Lepisosteus oculatus: one gene and its partners. The protein of the gene in region 1 interacts with the protein of each later gene in a pairwise test. Links are inferred from orthologs where the notes say so. Each region holds a gene or a part of one and is shown on either strand. Other genes may lie near its edges. The genes, in order: rnf8, homeza, mad1l1 and tmem79a.

Region 1 (7,882 bases):
TGCTTAGCAGTTTTAAACTGCATTTGGATGACCTGACTAATGAGATTTTGTCTTTTGATGCTGTCCTTGAATTGGAGACAAACATATACAGTACACGTCAATACAAGCACAAAATGGAGCAGATGTAAGCACTGTGATTTTGTGCTTCGAGAGGGCTTCACTGACATGCTCAGAAGAGAGGTCTGTGTTCATGTTGGAGAATGTGAAAAGCAGGGTAATTTCATTGGGTTGAGGGTTGCCCATTTTAATGTTTTATTTTTTTAAAGCTTCATCAGTTCTGGAAAAATATTAAGTCATTTTTATTGTATTGATTTTTATATTTTAATGGCACAATAAACCAATACACTTTTATTCGTAAGTAATTTGTTTATGGAGCAACCTTTTATTATACCACTCTTCTTGGTGTTCAAATTTAATTTCTTTACCCGAAGTTTCTGAGATGTGTATGAAATATTTACATCGTCTAAGTTAGTTCTGACACAGCTGTTGGCCGAATGGATAACAATACATGGAAAAGCCAATTTTATGAAAGGTTAAGGTTAAGAAGATTAAAATGGATTTCTGAATTAACATCTTTTTTTTTTTTCTGTTAATCCTAAATGCCTGTGTGGATTAAATCTTAAATTACTCTTCCTTTCAGGGGAGCAGTAATTCATCAAATTAGTTTGCAGATTTCATTGTACTGTATATAAAGACCCTGAAGCTAAAGTTTTAAAGGCGTATGTTGAATTTGCCAGTAAACGTTTATTTTGCATTGCTTGCCTGTCTTTATAATTGTACTGTTTCAACATAAACGGTACCATTATAAAACATTTTCTTGACAGCTGTATGACACGGTAACAGTGGGTAAACAAGGCTTGTGTTACCTTCTTTTTTTTTTAATGACATATCTATGTATTGCCATATACTGTATATAGACTCTCTTATCTTGAATCGTCACCCCAGGGTTACAGAATGCAAACCACTTTCTGTGTGTGTAAAATACAGTATGTGCAAGACATCTACTGAGATTTTAAGTAGCAAAATTCATAAGGTAATGTAACTAAAATACAGAAGATTTTAAAAATGAAAGCATCAAAGATTGATAAGAAATCTGGCAAGCTTGTTTAATTCCAAAGTGTAATTAATTCCTGGAACTGCTAAATTTCTATTCATTTTCTTGTATTTTACCATGATTGTTTTTTCTCTTTTTCTTTTCTGTATTGGCACCATTACTCAAAAGCAAGTATGTACATTAGAAGGTTTCCTCTAATGAGACTCAGAACTGCAAACTACTGTAACATTATTCTTTGTGCACATCTGTGACTGCACAAATACATTATATTTCATTCTTAAATTAACAAAACCCTGCAAAGTATGAAAGTGTATGATTTTCATCTGCAGGTAGCTGGAAACTAATATTTTGGTGACGGCATTCTCAGATTACTAAGAAATGTAAGCCTTAAATGAATTTAAGGAATATTTCAGAAAGAAACACTATATGGAAAGAAAGACAAAAGCTTCAGGGCTTCAGTTGCTCCTGAGAACGTTCACTTCAAAATCTTTAGCAGTTTTAGTTGTTGCTTTCCTTTCCAAGAAGCCTGTTCAATATACTGTATTACAGACAATAGATCCCATTCTAGTGATGTGGAACTTTATCATCCCCATCTGTTTTGTCTCCTTTTGTGCAACTCTGTCATTCTGAGTTTATGTTCAAACTCCACATCTCTATTGTGGAGAGGCTTGAGGGATGGATGCAGATGCATGGCAAAAAGAGACTGAAATTTACACCCGTGGGACAATAAATGAATATCAGTCTTCCAAACCATGTATTGAAGCTTAAACTATGTTTGACTCGTGTAACGCCTGACATTTTCTTTAGATATTAAGAACTCAGATTAAGGTTAGTCACAGTCAACAAGGGGCTTGGATTTATTTTCTCTAATTGTTATGTGCATATCAAAACCCCAAACAAAATAAAAAGGTGCCTTTGAGAGGACAGAGGGTTGTGCAAAGTACAAAAAGCATCTGTGCTACGATGTGAAATTCCCACACACACGAGGAAAGCTAGATCAATGACCTCTATATTCGAGGAAGCAACAGAAAAAACAAAAGGAATTAAATGTGCTGACAATGCCAAACCGTATTCATTTGCAGGGCTAAAATAACAATGTGTTATTTGGTCAAAGTGACTTATCTGACTTACATTGTTTATTGCACACAAAATTTTATAGTACAAACATTGTTAATGGAAGTATAAGCAACCACACCTTTTTTGTTCACATTTAAATCTCACCCAAACAAGCCATCATCACTTTTTCTGGAAATGATCAAAAAGTTGTTAGAGTGTTATGATATTTTAAATCAGTTTTTAAAGTGTCAAATTAAATAAATTAATAACAATTACACTGTGCAGTTTTCAATATTGATAATACACCTGATAATTAACAATACAATTGCATCACAAAATATAAACATTCTTTGCAGAAGTCTTTGATTTCAAAAGCTGTGGTAGTTAAACATCTAAATTATATATTTTGTTTATTATACCTTTTAGGTGCAAATACTCATATAGAACAAAGAAACACTCTCCTTATTTTTGTCTCCACTAACTCTAACTTTTTCTAACTCAAGGACTGATTCACAGGATTTGTCAGAAGGTGGAGTTAAATTTAGTGTTTTCTTGAAAGAAGCATTTCTGTAGTTCTTAGTAATGTAATCGCAAAACGGAAAAGTCTACTTCATTAATCAACTGTAGTCTTTCACAAATGTGTCTTAATATTGCTCGATGAAAAAGAAGGAAAACTGGATTGAAAATATTAAATATTAAATACTATACTATATACTATAATATTATATAAATTTGAAATACAAATATGGTATGTTTAAGAGGTTCGAGTGTGGGAGCTGAAGAGCAGGAACAAGGAGAGGTTAATTCCATGCTGGAAGTAGAAAGAAAAAAATATTAAAAATGCAACATTTCAGCTGTGGATTCTTCTGTGAGTATGTGAAAGAAGGATGGAGAGAAAAGGGATACAAGAAAAGGGGGCTTTAAGGAGAACACATAGAGGGTATGTAAGGATGGGCACTGCAGATGAAAAAAGGTGCCTCACTCCTTCCAGAATCGGGATGGTTTCCAATCCTGTTGTTGGAGCGGGGAGGAAACTCCCCAGAACCGGCAGCCCAGTGTTGTCCTTTCACAGCCTGAGGAACATATAGTGAGCCTGTCTCAGAATAAAGTTTTATATGATGTCTTTCAATGTCCAATAATAAAGTATGTTTTTTTTTTACTGTAAATGTAAATGATTTGTTCATTGTTTCTGCTTTGGCAACACTACTGTATAATTCATCAGTCAAGCCAATAAAGTTCTTTGAATCTGAATCTGGGTCCTCCAAAGACATGGAATTCGGTGGAGCAATGTTTAAGGCAGAAATCTGTAAATGAACGGAGAGATTTCAAGGATTGCAAGCTGGCAGAAGATGTGAAAAAGACAAAGTTCAATGTAATAATGTCTGAGAGAGGTGCAGTATATCAGGGAACTGTTGTCTTGGTGAAACCTTTGATCCTTACTGTTCACATGTTCTGCCTGAAACACATCGCCAGTTCTTCAGTGTTAATGGCAGTGCTGTCTGCAAGAGATCTATGAAACGAGATTGTGGACAAGCAAGATACTTCTTAGGTGACGTTGATACAATGATGAATTTGTTGGTGCTGCTACCTGCTCTAGCAATCTACTACAGCAATTTTACATCACTTCACCCACTTCCATCCATCTCTTTCACTCCTCTTCTTTTTCTGCACATACAAAAAGTAGGTATATTAGCCACCTGGAACTGAAGGTTTCTGTGTATTACAAACCTGCTGATGCACTCCATACCTCCTCTACAGCATGTTCTGCCTTACAAAAATCTATTTTTCTTATTGTTTCAAAGACTTTGTAAGTCAGTCTTGAGAGCGGATATCAACATCCTTTCTATTCTCACAATCATCAAAGAAAACATCTCCGTTGTTTTGCTATTTTTGTCCACTGTTCCCTTAGCCATCCACAGCTACCAACAGAAGCAGATAAATTGCCTAGAAATGCACATTCAGTAGCACATATACATAACTAGTGTTTGTCCCTAATCTCATTTATTACATTTCTCTTGCTGAAAGAGTCCCATCATTTACATTGTAAAAAACACAAAGATGTGTCGACTGTTTCAGAGAACGCACACATTTCTTTATGTGCATATTTAAAACAGATTACAGGTACGTAGGTGTAGCTATTGTGTGCTTACAGAAAGGAAACCCTGCTCCTCCTGATGACTTCTGTTCCCCTTTCTACATTTTACTGTTTGTTCTCTAACTACTAATGTATGTGGCTAAATAATGGATTACCATTCCTTCTGTACAAATATGTTCCAAGGAGCACAATTCCGAAAAACAGAAAAAATCTTGCAAAATGAGAAATAGAGAGACCAGTGATAGCCAACAGTATTTTTCATTCATTTTCAGTTTAATTGTTAGATTCGCTCTGCACTTTTAAATATATACAGAACCTATTTACCGCCAATATTGATAAAAAGTTATCTCATAATGTATGCCCATTGTCTCCTCCTTTTGATAGAAAATATTCAGTAATGGAAATGGTGTGGGTTACATAATAAATTAGCTTTGTATATTTGCACATTATATTTTTTAGAGTATATTAACACAAATACTTGATTAACAAAGAGAAATGATCATGTTTTAAAGTGTAATGAATAATAATGTAATGAATTCTGAGTTAGATCTTTTTTGTCCTCCACCCCACCAAGATGGCGCTGATATTCCTTCAGATACGTGACGAAACGCTCCTTTTTTTTAGAACCTCTATGGTGTTCAGCGCTTCACGCCGGAAAAGCGCGCAGGAACGTGAATACCACAAGAGAGCGTGGAATTATGGGCGTTTAACTTTTTGTGTTATTGAGGTAGTGTCATGGGCTGAGGATAATGGCAGAGGAAGCAGAGTCTGGAGCGGTTTCAGGCGAGGAAGACGATGCCGCGAAAGATGAAATTTGGTGCCTGAGAAGAGTCGGAAAAAGGGCTGAGTGGCTCCGTCTGCCCGAGAAAGAAGAGGTCTTGTTCTCTTACCTCTCATTTACTCTTTCAGTACTAAACACCCCTCCCCCTTCACACTTTTAGCTAAGTGGCGTACCTGCAAAAATGTCTTAATTGTATTTTGAGTCGTAAAAAGTTGCAAATATGATCCTAATCACCGGAGCTGCGTGCTTCTGTTTTCAAGTCTTTTACTTTTTAATACATCTCATGTGTGTTTTGTGCCGAATGACGATGATTGCGGAGGGATGGGGTTACATGGGATCGCAATAGAAGGTGTTTTTTTAGTTATGCAATAATATTTTTTTCAGAAGCATATCCATGTTTGTATTCTGGGGTGTTTATCACTGCAGAACGGAACTCGTCACCTGAAAGTGATGAAAATGTGGAATTGGTGAAGTCCCCTAACTCCTGTTTCCCCGGTTTACACATCTACCTGGATCCGAGTGTAATTGAAACACTAGCGACTATTCCTTGCACATACATTTACATGTTTAAAAATACAAACAGATAAATAATTTGTTTATTTTGTTATACCTATCTGAAAGCCCACCCTCTTCATCGTTTAAAGGATCAAAATAACATTTGTCTTCGTTAATCGCCTGCATACTATTGGTACAATTTTAAAAAGCACGTTGCAATAATCGGATTTAGATGATTTAAGCTTTCAAACAAAAATAAACTCCCTTCAAGTGGCGCATGTATTTTGCAACTGCACTAGTAAAGAAATCTTATCTGAAGTTCCTCAGTGCTTGTCAAGTTGTAAAGTCAAGCTACATTTTAAAGTTCAGGAGAACAGTAGTAATTCTTTGCCTAGAAGCCCTCAGTAGTAAACCTTGATTTTTAATAATGCCTCTTCTTGTCTTAGGTGACACTTGGGCGAAGCTTTGATGTCACTTATCAAACCCTGTCAAGGAGCTGTCCTTTAATGATTTCCAGAAACCACTGCAAATTCAAACAAAATGAAGAGGGACATTGGACAGTGACAGATAATAAGGTAGAGCCTTTATTTCAGTTTCATACTATGTTGGGTATTATTTGCATAGGTTTTGGATTTTGTGTTTCAATTTCTGGTAGACTGCTAATGGTCCCATAGTTGTTATTCTGCCTGAAGACACTGTGAATGTTGGCCGAACATTCCTGAGATGTGGTTTGTGAATAGATAAGATAACAGATAAGATCACTTTATTGGCTATATACAGTTTCTTGTAATAGGAATTTGTCTTTTTGCATACCCCAACTTGCTCTCCATCAGACACACAGACAGGGAAAGAGGCTTGGGGTCAGAGCCCGGGGTCAGACATTTATACGGCACTCCTGGAGCAGTTGGGGTTAAAGGCCTTGCTCAGGGGCCCAATGGAGACGGATTCCTCTGCCGGCCACGGGATACGAACCGGCAACCTTCCAGCCACAGGCACAGATCCTTAACCACAAGGCCACTGCCCCGCCACACTAAAAATAATATTTAGTTATAGTTGACCTATAACTAAATATTAGTATGGGTTGGTTTTGCTGCATATGTAATATGATCTCTAGTATTATGAAATGCAGTTTGTACGTGCATTTATGAATTAATAAGAACATTAATAAAATGATGTACATGTTCAGTATTTAATCAGGTTATTGTTCTGCAAATTGTAGAATTGTAGAAAAATCTTAGAGGTGTTTCCTTGCATAGCAAGTGACCTAAAGCTAGCGCTGGATTCCATAAACCCTCCTGTAGCATTTTTTCAGATAGGTACAGATATGTTATGAAAAAGACCAAATGAAAAAAATGTTGTCATATACACACTTTACAGTGATAAATCGTAATGCTCTGAAGTATTGTTTTCATAAATCACTGGACATCATAGAGTTTGTCGCATCAGGCATCGCAAGATAAGTATGAGCCTTGTTTTAGACTAATATTCCACTTGTGAATTGAATTCACAAAAAAAGATGAAGTCCCCACTGTGCAGAGGAGTAGACCAGTTTCTGAAATAGACTCCCCCTTTCAACACTGCCTCCTTTCCTAAGCATTAAATTCAGGGTAAAAATGGTTCTTAGAGATTAACAGTTTAAAATGTTCATATAACTTATTGAAACTTAAATCAAGTGATCTAAAATCTGCTAACCCTTACATTAACCGTTAATAAACAGTTACTATAAATGCCTAGTTAAATACAGTAGTCTAGTCGAGACGCAAAAATAACATTTATATAAAGCCTTGATCATTTTAAAACCATTTAAAAAGAGATTTTATTTTCTTGAATGCGATTAATGACGATGTGTTTCTGTTGCCTTACAATATGAATAATTTGTTCACCGATCTGAATCCAAGACAGAAACAAAATTATCCATATAATCCAAGCTGTAGAATTTTGAAATACAGAATATTTCTACATATTAATATATACCTAAATATATCTACAAAAATACCTGCTGTATATTTCTGTTAGGATCAAATTGCAGTGTTTTTTTTTTGTTCCTGTAGACGCCATTAAGAATATAATAAAGCAATTAATGTAATATGTATCGAAATGTTAGAAGAGGTTACAGACAAGAGGAGGCCATTTGGCGCCTCTAGCAAAATTGGTGTTAATGTGACAGAACGGACAGCAACACATTTGTGTAAAGAAAGAAGCAAATGCTTGGAGACGTATATCTCTTTGAAGCTTGATGGATTGATCAAGTTCTCCAATTTTTAGTCGGATACTGACAATTCTATTCATCAACAGCAACAGTTATTGTTTGTGACCATCGCCATCAGCAAGAGGTAGACTGGAAGCTGGACAAACCCCATGAAACACGTAGACCCAGCCAACACTACAGCTACAGCTTATG
Region 2 (7,557 bases), on another chromosome or scaffold:
GGATTATCAGTAAGACACAGAAGACTAGTGTCGTTTCTCTCAGTGTGTCTGTATCATTAACGTCTCTCTCTCTCTCTCTCTGTGTTTCTCAGGGCGCAGTGTGTTTGACAACATGTCCGTCAGTTTTCTCGTCTCCCAAGTGCCCTACCTCTCCTGGCTGTCCTCTTTCATCCCTTCTTTCCTGCGTCTTCCCAAGTTTGTTCTCACTCTGCTCCACGGACGGTTCTGACCCAGTAACCCCACTGATCCTACACAGTGATCCCCTGTCCATCGGCACAATGACCTCTGACCCTCACACTGACCCCCTGTCCATCAGCACGATGACCTCTGACCCTCACACTGACCCCCTGTCCATCAGTACGATGACCTCTGACCCCCACACTGACCCCCTGTCCATCAGTACGATGACTCTGCCTGTCCTGTCTGCCCAACACCAGGTCAGCTACCCCACACACACACCCCGCTGACCTCTGACCTTCACACTGACCCCCTGTCCATCAGTACGATGACTCTGCCTGTCCTGTCTGTCCAACACCAGGTCAGCTACCCCACACACACACCCTGCTGACCTCTGACCTTCACACTGAACCCCTGTCCATCAGTACGATGACTCTGCCTGTCCTATCTGTCCAACACCAGGTCAGCTACCCCACACACACCCTGCTGACCTCTGACCTTCACACTGAACCCCTGTCCATCAGTACGATGACTCTGCCTGTCCTATCTGTCCAACACCAGGTCAGCTACCCCACACACACCCCACTGACCTCTGACCTTCACACTGAACCCCTGTCCATCAGTACGATGACTCTGCCTGTCCTGTCTGTCCAACACCAGGTCAGCTACCCCACACACACACCCCGCTGACCTCTGACCTTCACACTGAACCCCTGTCCATCAGTACGATGACTCTGCCTGTCCTGTCTGTCCAACACCAGGTCAGCTACCCCACACACACCCTGCTGACCTCTGACCCTCACACTGACCCCCTGTCCATCAGTATGATGACTCTGCCTGTCCTGTCTGTCCAACACCAGGTCAGCTACCCCACACACACACCCCGCTGACCTCTGACCTTCACACTGAACCCCTGTCCATCAGTACGATGACTCTGCCTGTCCTGTCTGTCCAACACCAGGTCAGCTACCCCACACACACACCCCGCTAACCTCTGACCTTCACACTGAACCCCTGTCCATCAGTACGATGACTCTGCCTGTCCTATCTGTCCAACACCAGGTCAGCTACCCCACACACACACCCCGCTGACCTCTGACCTTCACACTGAACCCCTGTCCATCAGTACGATGACTCTGCCTGTCCTGTCTGTCCAACACCAGGTCAGCTCACCCTGAAGGCTTCCAGTGACTAATAAACAGCATTTTATTTGTCATTAATCCAGCATTGTTCTAAACGTAATGTATTATACTTTGCATTAAAGAAGCTGAAGTAAAGTGTGCTGTACTGCACTAGTTTTACACTCTAAATGTGCGAGTGGTGTTTTTTACAGTTTTATTAAGTGTTACACGGTAATCACAGTAGGAGCTTTGCATTTCTTTCCTTAAGAGGATAACGGTGAAATTGATCATGAAAAACAGGTACAGTGACGGCCACATCAGAGTTCTGTCGGGTTTTAAAGTGTCAATATAATAGTGCTCTAAGAGCTTTGATCTGTGGAGCTGCTCTGAACTATACTAGTGCTTTCAGTGTCTTCTCCACAGTCCTTTCAAACACTCCAGCTCATCTTTCAGGATGAATGTGAACTTCTCTGAGGAGTTCAGCTGATGTGTGGTGAGCGCTCTGGCGCACTATGGTTGCCGTCGGATCATCCAGGTGGGGCTGCACACTGGGGGGGTGGAGGGGATCCCCATTAGCCTGTAAAGCGCTATGAGTGGAGTGTCCAGAAAAGCGCTATATAAGTGTAAGCAATTATTATCATTATAATTATCAATAACAGCTCCCAGAGACCCAGGGAGGAGTGTTCATCACACACGCACACACCCCATCGAAATCAGCTTTCTGTCCAGCGTCAGGACAGGCTGCGATGAGCCCCTCTCTCTGCGATGAGGGAGCCCGACAGGCAGGAGTCCTGAGACGCACACGAGAGGATGGGCATCTGTCTGCGAAAGATACACATCTTGAACTTGAACACAGGGAGAGCTCCTGAACGCAGACAAGAGGTCCTGGCCACAGACGAGAGCTCCTGAACGCAGACAAGAGGTCCTGGAAACAGGTGAGAGCTCCTGAACGCAGACAAGAGGTTCTGGAAACAGGTGAGAGCTCCTGGCCACAGAACAGGAGGAGCTCTTGAACACAGATGAGAGAGCTCTTGTGGACACAGGGGGTTCCACACAGAAGGTACCTGAAGGAACCTCAGACCCGCAGACACCACGCAGACTCCACACAGAAGGTCCCTGGAGGAACCTCAGACCCGCAGACACCACGCAGACTCCACACAGAAGACACCTGGAGGAACCTCAGACCCGCAGACACCACGCAGACTCCACACAGAAGACACCTGGAGGAACCTCAGACCTGCAGACACCACGCAGACTCCACACAGAAGACACCTGGAGGAACCTCAGACCTGCAGACACCACGCAGACTCCACACAGAAGACACCTGAAACCTCAGACCCACAGACACCACGCAGACTCCACACAGAAGGTCCCTGGAGGAACCTCAGACCCGCAGACACCACGCAGACTCCACACAGAAGACACCTGAAACCTCAGACCCACAGACACCACGCAGACTCCACACAGAAGACACCTGGAGGAACCTCAGACCCACAGACACCACGCAGACTCCACACAGAAGGTCCCTGGAGGAACCTCAGACCCGCAGACACCACGCAGACTCCACACAGAAGACACCTGAAACCTCAGACCCGCAGACACCACGCAGACTCCACACAGAAGACACCTGGAGGAACCTCAGACCTGCAGACACCACGCAGACTCCACACAGAAGACACCTGAAACCTCAGACCCACAGACACCACGCAGACTCCACACAGAAGACACCTGAAACCTCAGACCCACAGACACCACGCAGACTCCACACAGAAGACACCTGGAGGAACCTCAGACCTGCAGACACCACGCAGACTCCACACAGAAGACACCTGGAGGAACCTCAGACCCGCAGACACCACGCAGACTCCACACAGAAGACACCTGAAACCTCAGACCTGCAGACACCACGCAGACTCCACACAGAAGACACCTGAAACCTCAGACCTGCAGACACCACGCAGACTCCACACAGAAGGTCCCTGGAGGAACCTCAGACCTGCAGACACCACGCAGACTCCACACAGAAGACACCTGAAACCTCAGACCCACAGACACCACGCAGACTCCACACAGAAGGTCCCTGGAGGAACCTCAGACCCACAGACACCACGCAGACTCCACACAGAAGGTCCCTGGAGGAACCTCAGACCCGCAGACACCACGCAGACTCCACACAGAAGACACCTGGAGGAACCTCAGACCTGCAGACACCACGCAGACTCCACACAGAAGACACCTGGAGGAACCTCAGACCTGCAGACACCACGCAGACTCCACACAGAAGACACCTGAAACCTCAGACCTGCAGACACCACGCAGACTCCACACAGAAGACACCTGAAACCTCAGACCCACAGACACCACGCAGACTCCACACAGAAGGTCCCTGGAGGAACCTCAGACCCACAGACACCACGCAGACTCCACACAGAAGGTACCTGGAGGAACCTCAGACCCACAGACTCCACACAGAAGGTACCTGGTGGTGGAGGGATCCCCATTACCTGTAAAGCGCTTTGAGTGGAGTGTCCGGAAAAGCGCTATATAAGTGTAAGCAATTATTATTATTATTATTAAACCTCACGGCGATTCCACACAAAGGGGACCCTGATCTAGACTCGAGCCGGTGGAGCTGAGGGGGTGGAGGCGATAACCGCCCCCTCCTGGCTAAATACGAAAGACCCAGCGCGTTTACACTGCCGTGCCCGCTCGGAATCGGACCTCTCCGGAGTCACACTCCCTCCCGCTCAGAAACAGCAGAGTAAACTCCGGCCCCCGGCGCTTCATGACCTGGCTTGACTGCACTTCCCAGCTCCAACAGGAGAATTCCGCGGCCGGTGTACAAGGAGGTCGGCGATAAACAGTTAACAGCCTAAATGAAACCAAAATAAACGTACCCCATCCGTAACCGGCAGAAATATGCGCTTTAATATACGAGACGGATGTGTGTATATGCGTTGGTTGCATATTTCACGTTGAGTGTCGTTGTGTACGGTGACGCCCGAGACAAACTGCCGCCCTTGTGGGTGGACAATAAAGCTATATCTTTCCTTCTCTCTTTAAAACCAAAACCTCTTCCAGGAATACCTTCATAAGATGGCGGCCCTCACAGCGCAACCCCCCCCCCTCCCATCACCTTCTGCAACTGCCCTATTCGCTCTACGTTACCTGGAGCACGTACTCCCATCGTTACCCCGCCCCCTGACCCCGCTCGCTCCGCCCCCTTTCTCCCAACTAGTCGGTGCGAGCGGAGTCCCGGCTGCCCCGCGCCGCTACGCCTTTAATGGCAAGCGGGCCCCGCCCCCCGCCGTCACCCCGGGAGACCGAGGCCTAGCTGCCCGAGTTTCCTGCTCCCGCCCGGCCTCGCGTAGCGGCTCAGAACAAAAACACGGCGAGCAGGAGAGAGAGGGACGCAGCGAGCGCCCGGCCGAAAACACGACCCCCCCTCCCCCCCTCGGCAGAAACACGACAACGAGAACGCAGGCGGCCTCCGCCTGCTTTGGAGTTTAAACTCGGGACTTTTATTTAACTTTTTTTTTCTTCTTTAAGAAAAAACACGCCAGCAGTCCGGAGCGGAGGGGGGCGGAGAGACGGACACGCACGCAGACGGTCTCCGGTGTTTGGAAGAGCAGCGGAGCGACACCAGCCGCTGTCCGGCCCCCGCAGACCCCGCACCGCCCGGCGGAGACGCGGCTTCTCCTCGGCGGGGCTCCGGCGGAGGGGAGACGGCCGGGAGAGCCGGAGACGCCGCGACCTCAGCCTCCCCGTGAGTCCGGCTCCGCCGCCTCGCTGCCCCGCTGTCCGCGCACACGGCGCCGGGACAATAGTGAGCCCCGCCGGGGTGGCTGGGGTGCCTGTTGTCGTTGTTGTTGTTTTGGGGGTGCTGCGCCGTGATGGCGATGTGATGGCGTGTCTGTGTGGCCGCGGGGGGAGCGGGCTTGCAGGGGCTGTACAGACGGGGCCTCTCGCTGACCTGCCCCCCCCCCCGTAGGACCCCCGGGCCAGTCCGGGCTGGGGGGGCTGGGGGCGCCCCGGGGGTGGCCGTGGCGAGTGCGAGCGAGGCTGCGGGACGGAGCCGAGTGTATGTGTGTGTGTGAGATGGTGGCCCGATGACCGTGTGTCCACCTCCCCCCGCCCCCGTGTCCGGAGCAGGGGCTGTCCGCCCCGGTGCCCACCCGGCCGTGGAACTCTCTCGCGGGGTGAATCGTCTTCCGGGGGCCCAGCGGAAACAGCTGCTTCTGCTGGGGGGGGTGTTTGTGTCCGTGAGCTGTGCGTGGGAGGGGATTCCGTGACTGCTTTCGCCCGCGGCCGTGCTCCGCTAGCGTGACTTTGAGGCGGTATCCTTCTGATAACCTGCGTCAGAGGGAGAACAAACATGTTGTTTTTGGAGGGGTACGGGTCTACGGCTTGTTGGTGAGGTGGACGAAGAGATCGGCCGATCAGAAAGTTACCAGTTAGTCGTTCCGAGGGTCTCAGACAGCTGTGTCCAGTTCAACAACATGGCTGGGCAGCTTGTCCCCCACCCCCCTCTGTGTAAAGAAGAGCCTCCTGTCCTGACTGGAGGGTCTCACCCAGCTGTGTCTGGAGAGAAGCCAGGGTATCGGCTTCAACAACAGGGCTGGGCAGCTTGTTCCCCACCCCCACCACCCTCTGTGTAAAGAGGAGCCTCCTGTCCTGACTGGAGGGTCTCACCCAGCTGTGTCTGGAGAGAAGCCAGGGTATCGGCTTCAACAACAGGGCTGGGCAGCTTGTTCTCCACCCCCACCACTGTCTGTGTAAAGAAGAGCCTCCTCTCATCTTCCTTATTAATAATTGGCTTCGTGGACCAGTATAGCAGCTCCTCAGGTGATGCTGTTGTTGCTTTCAGGAGACCTACAAGTCCTGCAGGCACAGCACCCACAATTTGTTGAAACATTATCATACGTACCCTCTCGACCACTGACACAGCTCTGATCATAATCTCAGTTAATAACTAATCCCTTACTGCAACTTGTATCGGTCTTGCTTTCGGGGTTACTGCGTGTCTTCATGTTTAATACTGCTGTGTTTACTTTGTATTAATAACGCCAGTGTCAGTGTGTCTGTATGAACCCCTCTCTCTCAGTGCAGTGTTAATGTACTGGAGTGTCCAGTCAGTCAGTGTGTCTGTATGAACCCCTCTCTCTCAGTGCAGTGTTAATGTACTGGAGTGTCCAGTCAGTCAGTGTGTCTGTATGAACCCCTCTCTCTCAGTGCAGTGTTAATGTACTGGAGTGTCCAGTCAGTCAGTGTGTCTGTATGAACCCCTCTCTCTCAGTGCAGTGTTAATGTACTGGAGTGTCCAGTCAGTCAGTGTGTCTGTATGAACCCCTCTCTCTCAGTGCAGTGTTAATGTACTGGAGTGTCCAGTCAGTCAGTGTGTCTGTATGAACCCCTCTCTCTCAGTGCAGTGTTAATGTACTGGAGTGTCCAGTCAGTCAGTGTGTCTGTATGAACCCCTCTCTCTCAGTGCAGTGTTAATGTACTGGAGTGTCCAGTCAGTCAGGGTGTCTGTATGAACCCCTCTCTCTCAGTGCAGTGTTAATGTACTGGAGTGTCCAGTCAGTCAGTGTGTCTGTATGAACCCCTCTCTCTCAGTGCAGTGTTAATGTACTGGAGTGTCCAGTCAGTCAGTGTGTCTGTATGAACCCCTCTCTCTCAGTGCAGTGTTAATGTACTGGAGTGTCCAGTTAGTGTGTCTGTATTAACCCCTCTCTCTCAGTGCAGTGTTAATGTACTGAAGTGTCCAGTTAGTGTGTCTGTATTAACCCCTCTCTCTCAGTGCAGTGTTAATGTACTGAAGTGTCCAGTCAGTGTGTCTGTATGAACCCCTCTCTCTCAGTGCAGTGTTAATGTACTGGAGTGTCCAGTCAGTCAGTGTGTCTGTATTAACCCCTCTCTCTCAGTGCAGTGTTAATGTACTGGAGTGTCCAGTCAGTCAGTGTGTCTGTGTTAACCCCTCTCTCTCAGTGCAGTGTTAATGTACTGGAGTGTCCAGTCAGTCAGTGTGTCTGTATGAACCCCTCTCTCTCAGTGCAGTGTTAATGTACTGTAGTGTCCAGTCAGTGACTATAGGAAACCATAACGGCCTTTTTGTCATCACTTAACAGAACATCCCATTGCGAGGGGGGGAGTTTGTTTGCTGAGCACAGTGCCTCCTTGTTGTTGGACAGAGAAGACCAGAAGAGAACAAGACATCTTTTCCCCCCTCCCTTCTCCCCATCCCTTCGGCTGAAATAAC
Region 3 (7,016 bases), on another chromosome or scaffold:
AGTTTTTATCACTACCAAGCACGACCCATCTGATTCAGGCTTCTGCTGGCATTTTAGTGGGGCATTATTTCATTAGACATTTTAAGGTAAATTTAAGATCATGAATGTTTACTGATGCTTTACCAATCGTGAATTCAAATGAACCAAATTAAGTGTACGTAATATTTAGTGGCTCAACTATAAGTTCTGCACTGAGGGATCACTGTTTTATTCCTACGCCCCCCCCAAAAACACTTCTAAAACATATGTACCTTTTGTTGTATTTCAAATAGTTCATATTTTAAAAAAATAAACTTAAGCTTAAACTGAAATGTTTGTGGGTTTACCATATTTGGGTTTCGCTTATTTGAATACCTTCTGTGGGGTATGAGGCTTCCTCGTGACTGGACTCACCGCTTCGCTGCTTGCTCGATTGTCTCTCCCGGCTGAACTTTGCCCCCAAAGCCGTTCCACTTCCCTGCGCCAAAACCACGCTTCTTCATGCCCAGGAGAACCCGCTGAGGCTGTACCACCATGACCAGGGTCAACAGCTTGGTAGTGATCATTGCGCTGCTGCAGGGAAGGACACACACACGACTGAATCCCTCTCCGCGCTCTAATGTCACGGGAGAGACAGTGACCAGGATCACACTCTCATGTCAAGCACCTGACTAAACACCTGTGGAAAGATTACTGTATGAACGCCGCTGACCCCCAGACGTTGCGCAGTGTGCAAATGGACAAATTGGGGACTTAATTTTGGAAGCGCTCGTGCACACGGACACAAACTTTAAGTTCATAAAAAAGGCATTTGTTTCAGGGCACAAGCCCTCGGACAGAAGCCCTTCAGCTGTTCAGAAAGACACCAGCTCTGCCGGTTCCATTGCTTTATGACGGCTGCAGGTCTGCGGTCTGAAATCCTGAAACAATTGTTTTAAAAACAACAGTTAACACTTGCATACCATATTATCACATTTATTCTTCAAAATTTATTTGAACACTACAGTTCAGACTACTCCAAGTTATATATGTCCATACAGTATATATGACATTTTCAAATTACTTCTATGGAATGTACTTGATTCTGAACAGTGAGATACTGCATTGCGTGATATTATTTAGCACACTACTTTATGCCTCAAAACTGATTATTTTTCACAGTTTGTACGGTAAGGTGCCGTGATCATTGCCGGGACAATTGCTCTGAAAACAGATTGGCCAGACAACGTACAAATTCCCAGAAAAACGTTAATTAAGTTTTAGTGTAACAAGAACAATGTCACTGTGCTGTATTTGCATAGCCTGCTCTGTACATTTCTCGACACCGCATTCATTCACATCTCAATACAGTTAACTTCTTTTGTCACAGTAATTGCCTTCCTAACTACTATAGACGTCACCAGCTCCGGATAATACAAGTACATCCTTGCATATAGTCAGATAATTTTCTATGGACATGCATGAGCAATCTGAAAGTGACCTAAAGGCTAAAAAAAAGTGAATTGATTAAACAGAACAAGTCTCATACCCAAGAACGATACCATCTAAAGTATGTGTGAACAATAGCAGCAGATGCACATTCAGTAACTCTGCAACAGCTGCCTCTTCCCTCGAAAGTCAGTCCAGCGGGTAGCCACACACATGACTCCCCAGCTCACTGTAGGCGTGCCACCCTGAAACCTGTCCGACTGGAAACACGGGGAGGACGTGCGGGAGGTCATATGTGACGGAAGCGTGTTCATCCTTAATGTTTACGAGTACTATCAAGGTCCCTTTTTAAACGTGCTTTCAGAGAAAAGGTGACATTTTGCAACTTTTAACGTAAAGGCTTCATGTAGTTTTAATTATCGATGTTATTCATAACTTCGTTCTACCGCTTTTGTACGGATTCAAAAATCTCAATGCAGCCCGGTGCTATTCCTGAATTGGTTGTAGTGTAATATAATTTGCAACCAATAATTAGTAACCCACTAGCATCTCAGATTAAGTGATTGCATTTTCCCCTCAAAATGAAAGTGTCTGAGGTCTGCTAGTCCTACCCTCTAAAACTTAAGCGGTTCAGTAACAAATTAGGACTCGTTTGACATGACAGGTCGGTTCAGTGGGTCTTGCAGAAATGAAGCTGAGGTTCGTATTAGGAATGGACCTCAGCCTTTTGGATTAAAACCATTTGTTTTGATCAAGTAGATCAATAGAAAAAAAGGCTGAAATCAGCCCTGCTTTGAATAAAGAGTTGATGTGTAGCTCAGTGGTATGAAACTTTACCGTACAGTCACGGCATTGTACACTCTATACGTACAAAGTTTGATCAGCGACCCTGCGCGTTTTGGACTTGTTGCGATGTGTTTCCTCTCCCAGGGATGCTGCGCAGGGCTCTGCACGCCTCGGCTCGGTGCTGGAGGAAGAGCCCACACAACACGAAAGGCAAGAGCGCTCCGGAGCAGCGATGGATCGCCAGGCAGATCAACGACCCGTATGTGAAGGCCGCCCGCCGGGAGAGCTACCGCTGCCGGAGCGCCTTCAAGCTGCTGGAGATCGACGACCAGCACCGCATCCTCAGGCCGGGGCTCCGCGTCATTGACTGCGGCGCAGCGCCGGGGGCGTGGAGCCAGGTCGCCGTCGAGAGGGTGAACTCGTCGGGGGCAGGTGAGCGCATGTTTGGTGTGTTTTAAATTGGGGTCTGACTGCAGCCCAACACAACATCGTCTTACATTACAAGCGCACACCCTGTGTAGTTTCGGTGAACTGGATGAGATGGGGTTAGGGCTTGGCAGCTTCCATAAGGATCAGGGCAGATGGGAGTTTAGCACTTAAGACGGCCTTGAAGCCAGCATGCACCTCGGTTACGTCAGCACCAAACTGGACCGTCCTGGCGCTGCAGGTTTTGTGGGGCTCTTCAAAGACGCAGCAGCTGACGAGCTGGGAGAAACTGTTCAGTTGGCCCAGTGTAGGCAGGTAGCTAGTCACCGCCTGGTTTAGCTCGTGAGGCGCTGGCTTGGAATGAAAGCACCCAGACACACCGGCCCCCCAGGACTTGAGTTGCCCACCCCCGCATTAGAAGCTCTGTGTACATGAACACGGATGAGACTGGTTCAGCTTGTAGTGCTGCCTTCTCCCTTGTTTCAGATCCCGGATTGCCGGCGGGCTTTGTCGTCGGAGTCGACCTCCTGCGGCTCGCGCCCCTGGACGGAGCGCACTTCCTCTCCCCGTGCGACGTGACGGACGCGGCCACTCCTGCCCGCCTGCAGGAGCTTCTCCCGGCCTCCGTGGCCGACGTCATCCTGAGCGACATGGCGCCCAACGCCAGCGGCTTCAGGGAGCTGGACCACGAGAGGCTGGTCGGCATGTGTCTCTCCCTGGTGGACATGGCCGAGGGGGTCCTGCGTCCGGGAGGCACTCTGCTGTGTAAAGTCTGGGACGGAGGACTGGCCCATCAGCTCCACAAGAAGCTGGCGCAGGCCTTCAAGGAAGTCAGGACCATAAAGCCTAAAGCCAGCAGGAAGGAGTCCGCCGAGCTGTTTTTCCTGGCCAAGAGTTACAAGGACAAATGATTGTTAGCATTTTCCTCCAGTTTTTTCAATTGTTTAAAAAACTGGAGTTTTGTGAGATTACAATTGGGAAAAAAACTTCAAAATGATGTGCACTTTATCCCAAGGCCAGCAAGAGACGTTGCCAAAATTGAGAATGAAAAACAAACAAACAAACATGAGTTTAACATTTCATTGCTGCAGACACACTGTAAGGGCCTAAACACGAGACACTGTAAAGCCTTAAATCTTGGTTTCTTGGGTTTTATTTTATAAACAGATGATGAACCTATTGTTAACGCAATGTAATTTTATTTGAAGTGACAAAAACGTGTTCGGTTTCACTGGACTTGACATCATGACCTTTGTATTAAACTACAGTACGTACTTCTTTCTGTAACGTATTGCAGGCCTGTGATTTATGGTGTTTGTTTGTGTGTGTGTGTGAAGAGCAGAGTTTTATACATTTCAAAAATAAAACAAGGATTAGATTTGTGCAGTTGGTGAATGGAGAATGATATGGACTAAAAGGAGATCCATGCTATAAACTCCCCATTTGTATTTTGTTGTTTTAATATATAATGTTTCCCCAACTAAGAAGAAATAAACCGAGTACTGCCATCCAGTAATAGTAATAAATACATGTTTTAGGGTCTGGGCAGCATTTATTACATTTGAACCACTGCAAATTTCAGAAATCCTATAAAAATGGTGAGGGTGACTAGGTATTACGGTAAACGATCATATCCTTTAAGCCCCGCTATTATATTCGTTACGCTCAAGCATCTAGGAACTCTCGCGAGAAGGTAGATCTGTTCTGGGTTGGAGGAGGGAGATCCAAGCAGTAAGGAATAAGGTATCATCGAAAATTGCGTGTTCTCAAAAATGTTACATGTTTTTGACATGGTCGTGTTTTTTTGTAAAGTAATATGAGTTGTGCTTAGACAGCTGAAATTTTGGTTTATTACATGGATGCATGTTTTGGAAATTTGGTTGACCCAAACAGTTGTGCATATATAGTTTAAGTTTTCTTGTGTACAGTACTCGTGTGCAACACACTGGCCAAGCAAATGCAAACTTCAGCTTGCTTTTCACGTGCCTTTATCGCAAACATTAAGATATTAAACCGTTAAAATCCACTTTATTGCACGAGTGAAGTCATTTGGAAAGCTTAATGATGACCTTCGACAATACTACGAAAACATTGCTTGGAAATCTGTTCCTGCTTTTATTAAAAAAAGGATACTGAGCATAATGGAGCAGTCATAACACGATTTATAAACATAAACAACATTTTGAAACTTTGTTGAGGGTTGTTTGCTTTGCAAGCGGTAGCGGTGAGAGCTTGGCGGACACTTTTCAGGTGCGTTTCTTTGCCTTCCAGATTGTTTTCTAAAGAAAAAAGTAAAACCAGTTCAAAATGGACAACATGCAGGACAATACCACCGTCTTCAACACTTTAAAGTCATTTGAGAGTTTCCTCTCGCAACATGACGCTTCAACGAGCCAGCCTGAAACCAGCGCGAGTAAAAGTGACCTGCAATTCCAGTACAACTACCAGTTTAAGGTGAGTACAGTTCTCTAGATAAGCATTTGAGCTCAGCCATGCAAGATGCATACAGTGAGCTTATTAGATTGTGCACGATTACAAAATTAAAATGCATGATTCTCAAGAAATCAAATATTATTTAACTATTTGGTCTGAAATGTTTTTTTTTTTAGTAACAATGTTAGATCAACACACCTTTGGACAGTATGTTACATTGATTGTTTTTTTAAAAAAACATTACTGATTTTTACATCAGTAAAGACTTTCTCTGCATTGTAAGTAATGGAATTAATTTATCTTACTTTGCCATGGGGAAATTATTTAATGTAGATTTGGTATGAAGGTTCTTCATACCAGTTTCAAATTGGTGTCTGGTGTTAAGAGAGCTGTTTGGATTCTCTTGAGTGCTGTTAAAAATCCACATTTTCAGCCTCACTATTAAGAGCAATCTATATGTTACTGCGAAAAGCAGTTAATAAAACTGTATTTTTGTGAAAGTACTATATAGTATAAGCCAGTTCAGTAGCAGATCAGTCTCAATCTTAATCGAGACATTAATTAAACTATAACCTCTCATTCGGCGTCAAGTCAACCAATGTCCCGGAGAATCCCTGGCTCGGGATTTTGCATTTTCTTTGTATCATGGACGGTAGAAGTTTTCATTCAAGTAAAATGAAACTAATGCACATACAGAAAGTGAAAACAGTGTAACATTGGAAACAGTGTTTCCGTGATTGAATCAAGTAGATCCACAAAGACAAGGAGTCCAACCAAATGAAAACTTAACGAAAGTATAAACACAAACGTTGAACTGGACACATCTCACTGGTTGGCCGGTCTCGACTCCCAGTCAGGCCACAGCGAGAGAACAACAGTCTGGCACGACGCTGTCGTCCCCTGCAAGCTACTGCAGTAATGTCCCCACAACCGGCGTTCACGCGTGCAGCAGAGACATCTGATCACGTGGCCCGTGATCATGAACCTTTCACCTCCACGCAGACAACAGCTCCTCTCTGGGGTTGAGGCAGGGGGAACGGGGTGGAAATTCCATGGCCGTGCGCTGGCAGGTAGCGAGCCATTCGCTGAATGAAGCAGGGTGGAGAAAGCTGACTTTATCCCACACCACTACTCAGTTTGGCACATCAGCCATCACCACCTCTCTCCGATGACCAGGTATAAGACTGTTGCACAGTGCATCCAAGAAAACTAGCACATGGCCTGTGCTGTAGGGCTCAGTGTTGGGGATGTGGGCACTAACACCATCACCTGATACAGCAGTGCACACAGTTATATTAACAGCTTGTAACAGCTGTGTGACTATCGATGTATTTCTAGGTGGAAGAGGAAGCTCAGAAAATCTTCTCCAAGACCCATCTTTTACAAATGGCCCAAGAGAAGTCGCAGATGGAGTTCAGTCACAAACGTGCCCGCATTGAGCTGGAAAAAGCAGCCCACACCAGTGCCAGGGACTTGGAGGTGAGCCCTGAAGATGCAGTTCTGATCTCTGTGTTTCATTCCGCCAGGGGGTCTTAAACACAATTCTGCATGGTGGTCGCTCTCAAAGTTCAGCTTTGTATCTTCTGGTTTTTGTTCTGTGGTCTCAGATACTGTCATTTCACACTCGGGTCCAAGTTGTTTTATTGCTAATTCTACTTTTAAGAAAAGGACTGCTCTGTGTAATCACCTGTAAAACAAAAATCTGCTGTATATTTAAGATAATTACGTGAAGATGGGCAGTAGGACCTGAGTCTGAATAGAATGAAAGTAGAAATTCACAGAAAGGTTGTCTATCTTTCATGCTGTGTTTTCTTTTTCTCTGACTCCATGACATGAAAAATTGTTCAGAAACAAGCCATGCAAAGAACTGGAGATGGGGAATACAGAGTATTGTTTTTGCTATATAAATGTATATAATCGTTCTGCCATGCATGCCTTGCTGCACTTTGAAGAATAGAGCGTTT
Region 4 (7,630 bases), on another chromosome or scaffold:
CTGTTAAGGGGTACAGACAGGAAGAGGGGGTCACCTGGCGATGGCGAACAGACCGGTGAGCAGCGGTACGAGCTTGAGGGTCTCCTGGCTCAGGTAGGTGGACAGCACGGCCAGGTTGAGGAAGAAGAGGAGGAAGAGCGAGAGGGAGTCCTGGACGAAGTGCCGGTGCACCCAGACTTCTCCTCGCTCCTGGCTCTGCGGCATCAGAGAGGCCCAGCACAGCCGGGACAGGCCCAGAACCAGCACGCCTGCGGAGACAGAACCGGGACAGACCCGTGAGCCCAGCACAGCCGGGACAGGCCCAGAACCAGCACGCCTGGGGAGACAGAACCGGGACAGACCCGTGAGCCCAGCACAGCCGGGACAGGCCCAGAACCAGCACGCCTGGGGAGACAGAACCGGGACAGAGACCCGTGAGCCCAGCAGGACGGAACCAGAGCAGAGACCCGTGCCGCTTCTGTCGCAGGAGGAGGAGGAGGGCGGGTGGGCGGGCGGGTTCTCTCTCACCCAGGACCACGGGCACGGTGGCGAAGGCGGCGCAGCGCAGGGTGTAGACCAGCCTCAGGGGGGCGCCGGGGAGCAGGGGGGCGTCAAACGGCAGGAACACAAACCCGCCCCACAGGAGGAGAGGGAAGATGAGGGCGGCAGCAACCAGAGAGGAGAGGGACTTCAGAGCATCGCGACCACGGCAACCGCAGCACCGACCACGGGCTGCAGAGAGAGGAGGCACAGGGTTCAAGCACAGGTCTGGACCGGGAGAGATAGGAGACACAGGGTTCGAGCACAGGTCTGGACCGGGAGACAGAGGAGACACAGGGTTCAAGCACAGGTCTGGACCGGGAGAGATAGGAGACACAGGGTTCGAGCACAGGTCTGGACCGGGAGACAGAGGAGACACAGGGTTCAAGCACAGGTCTGGACCGGGAGAGAGAGGAGACACAGGGTTCGAGCACAGGTCTGGACCGGGAGAGAGAGGAGACACAGGGGAAGGCACAGTGTAGACTGGAAGAGAGGGGAGACCTGGGGGAGGAGAGGGGAGACACAAGGGAAGGCACAGTGTGGACTGGAAGAGAGGGGCAGAGACGACTAAGGATTAGAGGTTTGTGGGGGGACGGGCTAGGGTGCCCCAGTTTGATGGAGAGAGTACTGGAGAGGGCGCCCCGAAGTTACCATGTGATGGACCGTCATCTTCCGGCCAGTACCCATCTGGGGGGGTCCCCTGGCGGTTCAGGAAGGGGCTCTTCTCGGGGTCCCCACCGTGAACACACAGCTCCTCCCTGTCCGCAGACTTCCTGTGCAGGCCGGACCTGGGGCCCAGGATCCGCACGCTGGGGCTGAACACCTGCGCCGCCTTCTCGGGCAGCGAGTTCACGAGGGGGTCCTCCTCCATCTCCGCCCCCGTCGCCCCCAGAACCCCGCTGCCCTTCTCGGCCTCTCGCTTCTCTGCTGACCACAGCAGGGTACTGGACTCTGTTAAAGCTGACCTTACCTCCTCCTCCTTCTCCTCCTCTCCCTGCTCCTCCTTCACTCCCACCTCCTCCTCTCCTACTTCCTTCTTCACTCCCCTCTCCTCCTCTCCCTTCCCCTCCTTCACTCCCACCTCCTCCTCTCCTACTTCCTTCTTCACTCCCCTCTCCTCCTCCCCCTCTCCCTTCCTGGTTCCCTCCTCCTCCTCCCCCTCCATCTCTTCCTTCTTCTCCGTCTCCTGCGCCCCCTCTCCCGTCAGGCCTGGTTTGAGGGGTACAGAGCTCAGCGAGCCATTTTCAAGAGGACGGTCCTTCCCCTCGTCCAAGAGCAGCTCCGATTCGGGGTTCGCGGTCATCCGACCGGGCATCCTGGGACTGGTCTCTGCTGCCTGTCCTGGGCTTCCTTCCACAGTTATTCCGAGGACTTTCCAGGACCCGGCAGGTATGTTTTCGACCCAACAGAATAAGGAACTAGGAAAACAAGTTGATACAAGAATTTGGAAAGAATTTGTTTGTGTTACTCAAACAAGCCGTTTGTACAAGCTAGCTGGAGACACTGCTGTCCCTCTCCTCTCACACTGCCCCTGAATTCACACACTGACACCCCCCTGACTGGACTGGAGACACTGCTGTCCCACTCCTCTCACACTGCCCCTGAATTCACACACCGACACACCCCTGACTGGACTGGAGACACTGCTGTCCCTCTCCTCTCACACTGCCCCTGAATTCACACACTGACACACCCCTGACTGGACTGGAGACACTGCTGTCCCTCTCTTCTCACACTGCCCCTGAATTCACACACTGACACACCCCTGACTGGACTGGAGACACTGCTGTCCCTCTCTTCTCACACTGCCCCTGAATTCACACACTGACACCCCCCTGACTGGACTGGAGACACTGCTAGAGACATGTTGTCAGGACACGAGTGGAAACTACAGGTAAGCCAGTTAAAACTGACAGAGAAGGTTTCTTCATACAGGGTGTTGTTAGTTATGCAGGTAAAGCCCCACCCAGTCATCAATCCTTCCCTTCGATTGGTCAGGTAACACGCCATTCATTCCAAAAGCCTTTTGTCATTGGCTGAACTCCAGTTGTTGTTTTTTTACCAAACGTTCGGAATGCGAGAGGGGGAAGTGGGAGCCTACAGGAAGCATTTGTTTATCAGAAGACCTTCTTTCAAAAAAAAAGTTATGTTATTTGGGGAGAAATGCGTGGAGATAAGTATTAGTGAGACGGGCATAGGCGTAGTGTGTCGTCTCCGATAGCCAAGTCACACTGAGCACTTTAGTCCAAACTCGGCAGCCAGTTCATGACGCTTCGAAACCATGTGGACATGTTTCATCAAACGTTCAACGCCCGCTCGCTCTACGTCCGGTGCTCTCGAGAAGACATTATAACGATTATAACGATTATAACGCCACTTACTCAGCGTGCCGCGAAGCCTCCGTGTGTCTCTCTCTCGCCGAGACGAGACGCAGGTGTGCCCAGGTGGAGCTGTTAAAGGCACAGGCTGCTCTTAAAGGAGAGGTCTGGAAGGAAAAGCGTCCCCTCACTGCCCCCGCAAAACAGAAAGAAACGTTAAGAGCAGAAGTGCCCCCTGGTGTCTGATCTGCCCGAGCGCCCATGTACCACCAGCCAGGTCCTCTGATTTTTATGAACAGCACAATTACTGATACTTCCTACCTGGCCTGGGGGTGATTTATAACTGTACTTGTAGTATTACTGATACTTCCGGCTGGGCTTGACGTTGGTTTATACTGTAAGGAGCTGTACTTGTACTGGTTTTTTTTTTCAGTCCTCAACTGCAAAAGACCTTCACAAAAATCCCAGTTGGGCATCATATCTTATTTAATTAAGAAAGTTAATCATCCAGGCGGATGCTGCACATTGGTGGTGGTGGAGGGGAGTCCCCATTACCTGTAAAGCGCTTTGAGCTTCTTCTTCTTCTTCTTTTTCACAGCCTCAGTCCCAGACTGTCCTGGGGTCAGCTGCTTTGGTTGCTCTTCTCCACTTGTCTCTGTCGAGCACATCTTCCTCACTCACTTCACATACCTCCATATCTTTTCTCACACAATCTATCCATCTCTTTCTAGGCCTGCCTCTTCCTCTGTTACCTTCCACCTCAAATTCCATTACCTCTTTGTTACTTCCTCAACGTCCCTCCTCATGATATGTCCATACCACCGTAACCTCGCCTCTCGCATCTTCTCAACCACATCCACCACCCTACATCGTCTACGGATTTCTTCATTTCTGATCTTATCCTTCATTGAAATCTGCAGAATCCATCTCAACATCCTCATTTCAGTTCTTCTCATCAAGTTCTCTTCCCTCTTTCCAACTGCCAAGCATTCAGCTCCATACAGTAGTACAGGTCTAATCACAGTCTTGTACATTTTGCACTTTAACTTTCTAGGAATTTTCCTGTCACAGATTATTCCAGTTATTTCTCTCCACTTGTTCCATCCAGCTTTCACTCTTTGTTTTACTGCCTCCAGTGTTTCTCCTCCCTTTACCAGTTTTGATCCAAGGTATTTAAAGCCATCAACTTGTTTCAGTTTTCCTCCATTTGTCTCCTCAACATTGGTCATAGTATCTCCTCTTCTCTCCATTACCATTATTTCAGATTTTTCTGCATTTTTCTGCATTCATTTTCAGTCCACCCTTTTCCAGACTCCTCTGCCATTTAAACACAAAGCTCCTGTAAAGCGCTTTGAGCAATTATTATTATTAAATATTAATTATTAGTCATTAGGTACATTGTTTAATTGCCTGCTCAGGTTGGAACTAAAACCAGAAGATGCCAACCAAGCTAGGAAGTGAGTTTGCGTCCCCTGGCTTAGAAAACAGTTCAGTCGCTCAGGGTTCTGTCTGGGGGGAGTTTGCATGTTGGTTTCCTCCAGGTGCTCCGTTTTTCCTCCCACAGTCCAAAGACATGCAGGTAGATTAATTGGCTTGTGGGAAAACTGTTCTTGGTGTGAATGTGTGTTTGTCTGTCTGCCTGCCTGGCCTGGTGTTCCATCCAGGGTGTGTGTGTGTGGGTGTGTGTCTGCCCTCTGATGGACTGGTGTCCCGTCCAGGGTGCACCCTGCCTAGCGCCTGTTGCTTGCTGGGATAGGCTCCAGCTCCACTGCATCCCTGAATTGGAATAAGTTGTTATAAGATGGAGGGATGGATGTATCATTGGTCAATGAAACATGGAGCTTTTGTCCTTGAGTTTTCTGACCTTTCGTTCCAGATCTTTTCTAAATAACTCCATTGAACAGGTTACCTGCTGCTGGTCGGAGTCAACTGGTTCCTGATATTAGAACTCTGTGATTCTAGGGCGACACGGAATACCTGTTGGACTGGGGTTCCTGCAGACCAGGGCTGGGAACCCCATCTGAGAGGTACAATACCCATAATCCCATCACATCCCATAACCCCTTTTCACTTCAGAGTCATGGTGACCAAGAGCCTGTCCCAGCAAGCACTGGGCACACCAATAATCAAACTATTAAAAAATAATCATTTCCTTACCCCGCCCTCCCATAAGTGCTGTTTGCAGATCTTTGGTAATTGAGTTTATTTATTGATACACGAGTGAAGTGTAGATCTGTTAACCCTGGTCTCCTGGCTCCAGTCTGGGCTGTACAGCCTGACCTCTCCGAAGCTCTCCCAGGATTCCCTTGGGGCAGCAGTGTCTCTCTCCCCCCCTGACCTGTGTGCAGGGGGGCTGCTGTGTGTCTCCCACATGGATGGGCAGTGAAGTGAGTCTCCACCTGTATGCAGGGCGCTATATGTAATTTTTCATCGGAATGAAAAAAGGTGCAGATCGAATTGTTTTTTCGCTAAAAACAAAATGTAGGGATTTGGAACACATTCTGTTTTAGAAATTCAGTGAATTTTACACGAAATCACTTTGAAACTATTCATAGTATTACAATATGATATTACTGTATTGACAGAGATAATTTCTTACCTTCGAGTCTTTTCCAAACACTGCAGTGATTTACAAAATTGACTACCTTTACTGTAAAAAAACAATGTGATAAAACAGCTTCTATACTAACTCATGTGCCGTATGTAAACATGTTCAGTATTATCTACTGTAGTCCACAACACAACTGGAGTGTGTACATTCGTGAACCCGCCCCTAATTTTGAACCAATCCGAGCTCCTGCTTACTCCTCTCCTCTGCCATCCAATTGGACAGCAGCTTCCTTCTCCGCTCCAATCAGAGAGCTCGCTGCTCCACGTGTGTTTCCCTGGTGCCGTGCAACCAAACCCGTTGAGCGACAGGAAAAACTAGAACATTCTGAAATACAACACTCTTAGCCAATCGCAATACGATGTGTTGCCCGTTAGCCAATCCCAGGGACTAAGACCTGTGCGTGGAGGTGGGGTCTTGTTTCGCAGCCTGGGGTTAGATTGAGAATCCTGTACTCACGGCCGGTGAGAGTTTACGCGAGTGTTCTGATATTATTTTATGAATTTTCCGAAGGAACATTTATATTTTATCCCCGTTAGACGGATGTTTGTAGGGCACAATGGCAAACGTGTGTCGCGAGGTTGTGACCCTGCAGCTGGGACATTTCTCAAACTATGTGGGGACCCACTGGTGGAATTTGCAGGTATTTAGTTAATTTAATATTTAATATGAACAAAATCAACATTAAGTTTATAGATGCGTAGTATTGTGTACAGGGTGACCACAGATTGAGAATATCCTGTCAGATTTGTATGGGCCGTGCCTGAGTCACCACTACGAGATGTCTAAATGTATATTGCATCAACTCTAAACTAGGTGCGTGTATATACAGCATATAAACAACTTGTACATTGAAATAGGTTTAGATATATCTGACCATTTCCTTTCAATTATTTAAATCCTGTTAATTAATTAGTAGTCTTACATTTTTTTGTGAAAGAAAGAGACAACTTCATGATGTTACGAATTGGAAAAGCAAACAGTTTGAAGTGCGACTTTAGTACTGGGCAGGAGAGTCTTAGCAAATCATAGCCCAGCAAGTTTTGAATTTCTAAATGAGGTGAAGAGGTTATGAATTTTCCTTTCCATAAAACCACATTTTCACATTAATTCTCCATCATTATTGTTCGTTTCAATTTAGTCCTTTATTTTACCAGCTAGGACAGTTGAAAACAAAGTTTCCCTTTTAGTTAAATTCTCACTGCCAGTCTGGGACAGACAGAGAGCTGTAAAGGAGCCAAGGTCTCACTGTGATCTGTGTCAGTGTTACAGATAGAGACACAGCCCTTCTAGAGTCAGGATATTAATCTCACTGCCAGTCTGGGACAGACAGAGAGCTGTAAAGGAGCCCCAGTCTCACTGTGATCTGTGTCATAAGCACTTGTTAGAGAGAATTAACCTGGGAGAGTATTGTAAGTGGCCCCAGGTTGTTTGAAAAAAATCGAACAAACTTAATGAAAATCTCTGTTCTTCTTCACCGCCCTGTCCAGGATGCTGCTCTGTGCTACGACCCGGATTCCCCCAGCCCCCCCAGCGAGTTGCTGAGTGATGTCCTATTCCGGGAGGGGGTCACACTGGGGGGACAGACCACCTACACCCCCCGCCTCATCACACTGGACCTCAAGGGTGGGCCTGATGCTCTGTGTGTGGCACTCTCAACTCTGCGATTCTTTTTTAAAGGAAGGGATATAAATGAAGCTGATCCACTCCAGGATTTACAGTGCTGTCAGTCAGACCCCCCCAGTCCACAGCAGTCTGATCCACTCCAGGTTTTACAGTGCTGTCAGACTCCCAGTGCACAGCAGTCAGATCCACTCCAGGTTTTACACTGGTGTCAGTCAGATTCCCAGTGCACAGCAGTCTGATCCACTCCAGGTTTTACAGTGCTGTCAGTCAGACTCCCAGTGCACAGCAGTCTGATCCACTCCAGGTTTTACAGTGCTGTCAGACTCCCAGTGCACAGCAGTCTGATCCACTCCAGGTTGTACAGTGCTGGCAGTCAGACTCCCAGTGCACAGCAGTCTGATCCACTGCAGGTCTTTAGTAGTTCTCCTACCTTCATTGTCTCTCTCTTCCGACAGGAAGCCTCAGTACCTTGAGGCAGGAAGGCAGCCTCTATGAGACAGGGAAAGAAGTCAGAACTTTCACCTGGTGAGTCACCTTCTCTCTTATTGTGTGTGTTACT

The links.
Region 2: the proteins of rnf8 (region 1) and homeza interact in binary tests that used the Homo sapiens proteins (3 or more experiments, as listed by UniProt). The two-hybrid records come from large-scale screens. The link is inferred for Lepisosteus oculatus from reciprocal best matches to the Homo sapiens genes RNF8 and HOMEZ.
Region 3: the proteins of rnf8 (region 1) and mad1l1 interact in binary tests that used the Homo sapiens proteins (3 or more experiments, as listed by UniProt). The two-hybrid records come from large-scale screens. The link is inferred for Lepisosteus oculatus from reciprocal best matches to the Homo sapiens genes RNF8 and MAD1L1.
Region 4: the proteins of rnf8 (region 1) and tmem79a interact in binary tests that used the Homo sapiens proteins (3 or more experiments, as listed by UniProt). The two-hybrid records come from large-scale screens. The link is inferred for Lepisosteus oculatus from reciprocal best matches to the Homo sapiens genes RNF8 and TMEM79.

The regions. Positions count from the first base shown.
Region 1 is NC_090697.1:43,193,740-43,201,621, forward strand, and holds the start of rnf8 (E3 ubiquitin-protein ligase rnf8), read left to right. Parts: upstream 1-4,873; 5' UTR 4,874-4,954; coding exon 4,955-5,080; intron 5,081-5,927; coding exon 5,928-6,056; intron 6,057-7,882. UniProt on the Homo sapiens protein: E3 ubiquitin-protein ligase that plays a key role in DNA damage signaling via 2 distinct roles: by mediating the 'Lys-63'-linked ubiquitination of histones H2A and H2AX and promoting the recruitment of DNA repair proteins at double-strand breaks (DSBs) sites, and by catalyzing 'Lys-48'-linked ubiquitination to remove target proteins from DNA damage sites.
Region 2 is NC_090699.1:13,251,770-13,259,326, forward strand, and holds the start of homeza (homeobox and leucine zipper encoding a), read left to right. Parts: upstream 1-4,545; 5' UTR 4,546-5,064; intron 5,065-7,426; 5' UTR 7,427-7,557. Other genes in the region: dhrs1 (dehydrogenase/reductase SDR family member 1), read left to right, coding at 93-229. UniProt on the Homo sapiens protein: May function as a transcriptional regulator.
Region 3 is NC_090714.1:1,968,452-1,975,467, reverse strand, and holds the start of mad1l1 (mitotic spindle assembly checkpoint protein MAD1), read left to right. Parts: upstream 1-3,996; 5' UTR 3,997-4,362; intron 4,363-4,890; 5' UTR 4,891-4,926; coding exon 4,927-5,073; intron 5,074-6,390; coding exon 6,391-6,531; intron 6,532-7,016. Other genes in the region: nudt1 (oxidized purine nucleoside triphosphate hydrolase), read right to left, coding at 394-545; mrm2 (rRNA methyltransferase 2, mitochondrial), read left to right, coding at 2,340-2,625, 3,106-3,530. UniProt on the Homo sapiens protein: Component of the spindle-assembly checkpoint that prevents the onset of anaphase until all chromosomes are properly aligned at the metaphase plate.
Region 4 is NC_090722.1:6,315,337-6,322,966, forward strand, and holds the start of tmem79a (transmembrane protein 79), read right to left. Parts: upstream 3,010-7,630; 5' UTR 2,901-3,009; intron 1,938-2,900; 5' UTR 1,835-1,937; coding exon 1,171-1,834; intron 712-1,170; coding exon 508-711; intron 249-507; coding exon 35-248; intron 1-34. Other genes in the region: msto1 (protein misato homolog 1), read left to right, coding at 6,005-6,088, 6,936-7,071, 7,527-7,596.